Callithrix jacchus: one gene and its partner. Each later gene encodes a partner of the first gene's protein in a complex. Links are inferred from orthologs where the notes say so. Each region holds a gene or a part of one and is shown in the gene's direction. Other genes may lie near its edges.

The links.
Region 2: the proteins of RANBP9 (region 1) and ARMC8 are in contact, whole or in part, in a cryo-EM structure (PDB 7NSC), measured with the Homo sapiens proteins. The link is inferred for Callithrix jacchus from reciprocal best matches to the Homo sapiens genes RANBP9 and ARMC8. Residues at the interface, in NP_005484.2 of Homo sapiens: Tyr271, Gly298, His299, Ser300, Leu301, Gly302, Ile303, Asp337, Asp340, Tyr341, Arg343, Glu344, Thr347; in NP_001350870.1 of Homo sapiens: Gln245, Arg246, Asp247, Val277, Leu278, Lys279, Ile317, Ile320, Thr321, Asp322, His323.

What each region holds. Positions count from the first base shown.
Region 1 is NC_133505.1:17,034,604-17,038,427, forward strand, and holds part of RANBP9 (ran-binding protein 9), read left to right. Parts: intron 1-1,132; coding exon 1,133-1,323; intron 1,324-2,600; coding exon 2,601-2,748; intron 2,749-3,824. UniProt on the Homo sapiens protein: May act as scaffolding protein, and as adapter protein to couple membrane receptors to intracellular signaling pathways. Acts as a mediator of cell spreading and actin cytoskeleton rearrangement.
Region 2 is NC_133518.1:46,106,011-46,109,834, reverse strand, and holds part of ARMC8 (armadillo repeat-containing protein 8), read left to right. Parts: intron 1-515; coding exon 516-658; intron 659-763; coding exon 764-861; intron 862-3,824. UniProt on the Homo sapiens protein: Component of the CTLH E3 ubiquitin-protein ligase complex that selectively accepts ubiquitin from UBE2H and mediates ubiquitination and subsequent proteasomal degradation of the transcription factor HBP1.

The sequences.
Region 1 (3,824 bases):
ACCACCATTCTACATTTTACCTCTATGAATATGACTACTCATATAAGTGGAATCAGAGTATTTGTTCTTTGTGAGTGGCTTATTTTAGTTAGTGTAATAGCCTTAAGGTTCATCTTTATTGTAGCATGTATCAGAATTTTCTTCTTCTTTTTTTTTTTTTTTTTTTTTAAATATAGAGATGGGCTTTCACCATGTTGGCCAGGCTGGTCTCAAACTCCTGACCTCAGATGATCCGCCCACCTCGGCCTCCCAAAGTGCTGAGATGACAGGCATGAGCCACCGCACCTAGCCAATTTTCTTCCTATTGAAGGCTGAATTGTACTCCATTGTTTGGATAATACTGCATTTTTTTATTTATCCATTCACCCACTGATGGACACTTGGTTTGCTTCTGCCTCTTGGCTATTATTAATAATTCTGCTATGGTGTAGGTGTACAAATATCTAAGTCCCTGCATTTGATTTTTTTGGTTATATACCTAGAAGTGAATTTTCAGGATCATATGGTAATTCTGTGTTTTACTGCTTTTTAAAAAATAGCCATCCTGATTTGATAGTTCTAATTGGTTTTATGAATCTGTTATTTTAAAAATTAGATGTTATTGAGCTTCAGATTTCAACTCTTTAAGCAACTTATTCTTTGTAAGTCAAATGACAGAATTGTTTTGCTTTAGAGTAAGTAGAAGTTTAAATAAGAACCATTTTGGTTAAGGCGTTGGAAATGGGACAGGTAGGGAGAAAGGCTGTATTTTACATGTATCATATATACATAAGATCATAGGCATAATTGGACCTACTACCAAGTTCAAATGTTATTTTGATTAAATTACTTGTAGCTAAACAAAATGGCGTTCATGTCTTCTTATAGGTAAACTTCCATTTAGTAAATCTTGATTAAAGGGGGTAATATTATTGTAATATCTATTGCATTATACTCTTGTTTTTCTGGAAATTCTAATATTCTAACCAATAAAGTATAGGACACTGTATTTAATATTTTTAGCTTACTATCTAAAGACCAATCTGACTGATAAATAAAAGTTTAAAAAATATTTTAGAAATCTGTTGCTATTAAGTAAACGAAAGGCCATTTGAAGATGATGTCTTAAGTATGTTTTTCTTTTCTCCTGTAGAGTACGTCAGTTTATAGAAATGGTGAATGGTACAGATAGTGAGGTACGATGTTTGGGAGGCCGAAGTCCAAAGTCTCAAGACAGTTATCCTGTTAGTCCTCGACCTTTTAGTAGTCCAAGTATGAGCCCCAGCCATGGAATGAATATCCACAATTTAGCATCAGGCAAAGGAAGTACTGCACATTTTTCTGGTGAGATTTTATCTAATGACATTATTTTGAGATTTTTCCTCTTTATAATCTTGAAACTTTTTCCTTTTTAAAATCTGTATGTTTCTTTTGTAGCTGTTGCAAATGTGTATACTTAAGATTTTCAAAGTGAAAAATTGTAGGTTCAGATTTACATGTTCTCAGTACCAGGAAGTAACTTGAACAGTTGTTTCTGAGAGTAGGTTATTAGCAGACCTTCATAAATGAAAGTCAGCATTCAAAATGAGTAGTCATTGAAATTATATTATTGATATTTAATAGTGTGAAAAGGTAATTGTGTGTTTTAATAAAATATAAATTTAAAGGCAATCCGGCTGTGATATCTGATTACCACACCTAGCTGGGCTGCCCCTGCCTCCCTACCCTCAACCTTTCCCAACCAAGCCTCTTGCAAAAGTCAGCTCTGCCTAGTTCATTTTCTCCCATCCATTTTTTGGCTCACCAGTCTTACTGTCTGTGACTTTGGCTGTTCTCTTAATTAAACCTCTTCCCCTTTCTTGACTTTTGTCACAGGTTTTGTGGTTTTGTTTTTGTTTTTTCTTTAAAGAGAAGGAGTCTGGCAATGTTTCTAAGGCTGGTCTCAAACTCCTGCCCTCAAGTGCTCCTCCTGCCTCAGCCTGCCAAATTGCTGAGCTTATAGGTGTGAGCCACCATGCCCAGCAACAGATTTATTTGTGATGCTTCGCAGTCTTCTGTTTACCCAGCTCTTTAATTCTGCATTTCCCAAGATGTTATCATTGTACATTTAACATTCTTAAACTAGTCAGATAGTGTTGCTTTTCCTTTCATGAAGTAACACCATTGCTTTTTCTCACTTCAGTTTATCCTCTTTTCTGCATTACTTCCTCTCAGTTTATTTACATCTCTATTCTGTACCACAAGTATGATTCTCATGTCTGTTCTTAGGCACTCCTCTTGAATATCATACAGTCACTTCAGGCTTGGACAAATTCTGAGCCTCAGTGTATTCATATGTAAAGTTGGGGTAATGATCATATTGCCATTTTAGGGGGATTGTGAGGATTAAATGAAATCTGTAATTAAGCCTTCAATAAATGCTAGATGAAGTAATAATTAAGATCTCCCAATTAAGTATTCTTAGTATCCTTTCAAAGAAATTACCTGTTTACTATTTACATCATCCATTGACTTGCCTACGTTCTAGAAGTCTTAAATACAAAATGAACGTGGAGACTTATTTACAACCTCATTAATAAATTAGTGTTTGTTTCTGTTTCCATGTGGTATCTTTTTCTCAGGTTTTGAAAGCTGTAGTAATGGTGTAATATCAAATAAAGCACATCAATCATATTGCCATAGTAATAAACACCAGTCATCCAATTTGAATGTACCAGAACTGAACAGTATAAATATGTCAAGATCACAGCAAGTTAATAACTTCACCAGGTAAGTAATTTCACTAATTTTTGCATTAATATAAGCAACCTAGTTATAAGTGTAATCATTGTAATAATTTTGAAAGAACTTGAATTACATGACCCACAAAGGGGCTCTGGGAGTTCTTAAGCCCTCAGAAAATAAAAGGGGAAGGAGTCAGTTCCTCAAAGGTTTTTAGTCTCCTACTATGCGAATGAGCTCTTTCCTTAGTTTCTTCCTCTTCTCGACTACGCTTTTCCCTCTAGTAACGTTTTAAGGACAAATTCAGGACTCCATGCATTGTCTTCCTGCCAGCCACAGAGCTAATACAGATGATCACATAAATGCCATTTGTTAGGTTTTCACAGTACTTAAGACACAGTAGTATATTTAACCTCGAATGGTAACATAAGATAAATTTACAACTAATTTTTTTCTCTCCGTGTGTTTTTTTGGTGTAAATGTGTAGAATGTTTTTTAAGTTCAGAACAACTAACTTTGCAAAGAATCATTTTTGAAAGCCTGTCTTTAAGTAGCTTACATATAGCAGATGTCTAAGTCATTTAGTAAACAATGTGAGGATAGTTTTGAGGATTTGTTGGGGACCAAACATTATGCCAGGTAGGGTATCTGATTTCAAAGAGCTTTGCAAGAAGATATATCTCAGTCAGTGTCCTATGACCCTTGACATACTCACGTTTAATATTTATGAAACCTAAAAGTTCATGAAGTGAAATTTTTTGAATTGAATACTACTGTGCAGAAGCAAATTCTTGTGAATTCACCCTGCCCAAATCATCCAGAACTGAGTTAATTTAATATTGGTTTGGGCTCTAACAAATCGGTTGGTTACACTGCATTTTCAGGAAATGGCCATCATCAGTGTAACATTTTCTTCTTAAAGGAGAGAGAACCTAAATTTTAGCATGGAATCTTAATGGAAATATGATTTTGGAGAAAGGAGTCTATGTTAAAAAAATCTGTATTTGAAAATTTGGAGAGTAATCAAAATTTCTGGGTTATGTCACACACGACAAAAATTACTGAAGTGATGGTATGTGTGATTGATACAACTTATAATGGAGAACCACAAAAGTGTATGAGAA
Region 2 (3,824 bases), on another chromosome or scaffold:
TTTCCAAATAAGAAAACTGAAGAAAGAAGAAACTCCCTTACCTGAGGAGCTGCACAAGGGCTTTATAGATTCCCTCTAGGCTCTATCTCTACAAACTGCACTTCTGCTCTAGATTCAGAGCAGTAGCATTTCTAGATTTCTAGTTTGAATATAAGATCTGGCAGCACATGGCATTTGATTGAGAGTCTTCATATTTTGGAGACCCAACAGGAAGTGGTAGATGATGTGGACTCTGATGATGCTGTTTCTACAGAGACCACTTGTGGACAACTTTCAGATGTACACTTTTGATAAACCCTGAGAATATGATAGTTCTTTTTTTCAAAACCTCTTCTAGATTTTTTTCCAGATGTTTCTTTCTTTAATTAGCAGATGAGATAAACAAATGACCATTGAATTAATATAAACTCAACCAATCATGTTTTTATTATGTGGACTGCACAGCCTTTTTTGGTCACATTGAGCCTTGATTAAATTTTTTTAGTCTTTTTGTTTATTAAGTTCCTTCTTTTTAGATTGTTGTACTTGCTTCAGCAAGAAACCTCAACCACAGAGCTGAAAACTGAATGTGCAGTGGTGTTGGGAAGTCTTGCTATGGGTACTGAAAACAATGTCAAGTCTCTACTGGACTGCCATATTATCCCTGCCTTATTGCAAGGTATGTAGGGAAGCCATTTTTTGCTCAAGTAAAGATAAGAATCAGTTTACAGTACTTTAAATACTGGTTGAGAGGATTAGTCCTAAATTTAGTTTCTGTTAATAGGACTACTGTCCCCAGACCTGAAGTTTATTGAAGCTTGTCTCCGATGCCTGCGCACCATTTTCACCAGTCCTGTCACTCCAGAGGAGCTACTGTATACAGTGAGTTTTAGATGTATTTGAGATATTAGTTGCATTTCACTAACAGCCTACTCCTAATTTGCTTGGCATCTTTAGACTCATCATAACTATGTTGTATAAAAAAGCCTCAGCTGGGCATGGTGGCTCACACCTGTAATCTCGGTGCTTTGGGAGGCTGAGGTGGGAGCATTGCTCGAGGCCAGGAGTTCAAGACCAACCAGAGTGATGTAACAAGACTCCATCTCTAATGAAAAAAATAAAAATAAAAATAAATTAGCCTGGTGCAATGGTGCATGCCTATAGTCCTAGCTACTCATGAGACTGCAGTGGAAGGATTGCTTGAGTCTAGGAGTTTGAGGTTATAGTAAGCTATGAGGTGCCACTGCACCTCAGCCTGTGTGACAGAGCAAGATCCTGTAACTTAAAACAAAAAAATAATAAAAGTCTCTGCCAGGTGTGGTGGTTCACGCCTGTAATCCTAGGAGTTCGTGAGGTCAAGGCGGATATAGTACCTGAGGCCAGGAGTTAAGACCAGACTGGCCAACACGGTGAAACTCCGTCTCCATTAAAACTACAAAAATTAACTGTACATGGTGGCACATAGCTGCAACCCCAGCTTCTTGGGAGGCTGAGCCATGAAAATCACTTGAACCCAGGAGACAGACATTGCAGTGATTGGAGATCACCACCCCACTCCAGCCTGGGTGACAGTACAGACTCTGACTCTAATAAATAAAGTCTCAAAAACTGTTTGAGTTCTTGCCTCACTATACATGTGAATTTGTGTGTGTGTGTGTGTGTATGTAGGTATGTATGTATATGTGAAAGAATCCTGAGACAAGTTTCTTGACATAGTTCCACAGATGAAATGCCCTCTGGTTTCTGTGTTGTCATTTTTCATTCTTCAAAAAAATGGTGATTGTGATTATCTGAGCCAACATAACAAATTATGTTGTTAAATTGTGCACACAGGAGTCAGAGATCTTACCCAGAATTAGGCTTTTTAAGTATTTCAAGACTAGAAGTAATAAAGAGGCATAGGCAAAGCAAGCATAGAGAAGAGACATGTCACATGGCTCCCTAGCCTGTCCTTTCTACATCAGACACATACTCCGCTGGCCCTTAATGATACATAAGGTGGTCGGTAGATGAGATTTATGGGTTACCTCACATAGGGAGCACCTAAATTATGAAAATTCTTTTATTTTATTTATTTTTGATAGGGAGCTTTGCTCTGTCACCCATGATGGAGTGCAGTGGCTCAGTCTTGACTCACTGAAACCTCTGCCTACCAGGTTCAGGTGATTCTCCTGCCTCAGCCTCCTGGGTAGCTGGGATTACAGGTGCATGCCACCATGCCCGGCTAATTTTTTTTGTATTTTTAGTAGAGACGAGGTTTCACCATGTTGGCCAGCCTGGTCCTGAACCCCTGACCTCATGATCCGCCTGCCTTGGCCTCCCAAACTGCTAGGATTGCAGGTGTGAGCTGCTGCACGTGGCCTAACATCTTTATTTTATACCTCATAGTTTTATGTGAGATTCTTCAGGGAGTCATACCTCATATATCTATAGATTGTTTACTGCAGTGGTTCTCAGATTTGAGGTTGCACTAGAATTACGTGGAGGGCTTGTCAAACAGGGATTGCTAAACCCCACCTCCGGTTTCTGATCCAGTGAGTTTTGGGTGTGGCCTGAGAATTTGCATTTCTAACAAATTTCCAGGTTCTCTCTTTAAGAGTTACTACTTTACTGTAGACATCCTGCTTAAAGCTTTCCATAGAGGACTTAGTAAATATCAGTTTATTTTCCTGTAGTTCATATGGTAATGTTTGCAGAGATTAAGCCAGTCACCTGTCTTATTTACCCTGGAAGTTTCTCACCTACCCTCAATCCCATAATAAGGGGAGAAGTTGATCCTGGCCAACTACTTTAACTCCTCCCACCTCACTCTCTAAACTGATTTTTGTCCTACTAATGGATCATGGTGCACAATTTGGAAAATTCTGGTCTATGCCAACTGTTTTACATGAGAAAAATTGAGACCCAGGGAGGTTAAATTTAGATAGAATATCTAAATTATGAATCATCTCAATTTTGTGCCTCAGATATTTTATACCTCAGAGACAGTGGAGAATTTGTAAAGAGTTGGATTGGGGAATAACTAGCAGCAGTGTTTCAGTGTATTAATTGACTTCTATGAGTTGGGGTGTATAAAAGCCAGCTGTTTGAGCAACTCAGGCTGTAGAATAGAGATGGGGTAGGTAGTCCAGTAAGAAGATGGCAGGATTTCTAGTTTGAAATTGTGTTTATTAGGTGGGTGATTTTGGGTAAATTTTGTATTCAATAATTGTTCTTTGCCTTATTTAATCATCTGTAAACTGTAGATATATAGACACAATTAACAGAAAGGGGGCAGATATGAAAAAATGGGATGGGGGCTATTGTAACTGAGGGAAATTGAGGAATGCAAGAACATTAGAGGAAAAGAAGGAGGTGGAAATAGCTTTAGGAGCCTAATAGAGACTTTTTAATCTACTTCTCTACCTTTTCTATCTTAGCTGCTATGTACTTCACCATTCTTTGCTCAAAGTAGAGTCTGTAGGCCAATGGCATCAGCCTCATTTGGAAGCTGACTCTTAGGATCCTACCCCAGACCTACAGTATCAAAGTACATTAAGAACATCTCCTGGGAATTTGCATGCACATTCCTTCTTGGGAAGCATAGCTCTTGTGATGTCATTGACTGGGAAGCTTGAGCTAAGTCTTCTTTCTTATCTGCGGTTCTAGCCAGATAACCTTTCAACTTTTAATTTCTTCGGCATTCTTTTTTTTCTTTTTTTTTTTTGAGACAGAGTCTTGCTCTGTTGCCAGGCTGGAGTACAGTGGCATGATCTTGGCTCACTGCAACCTCCACCTTCCAGGTTGAAGCTAGTACCCTGCCTCAGCCTCCTGAGTAGCTGACACTACAGGCATGCACCACCATG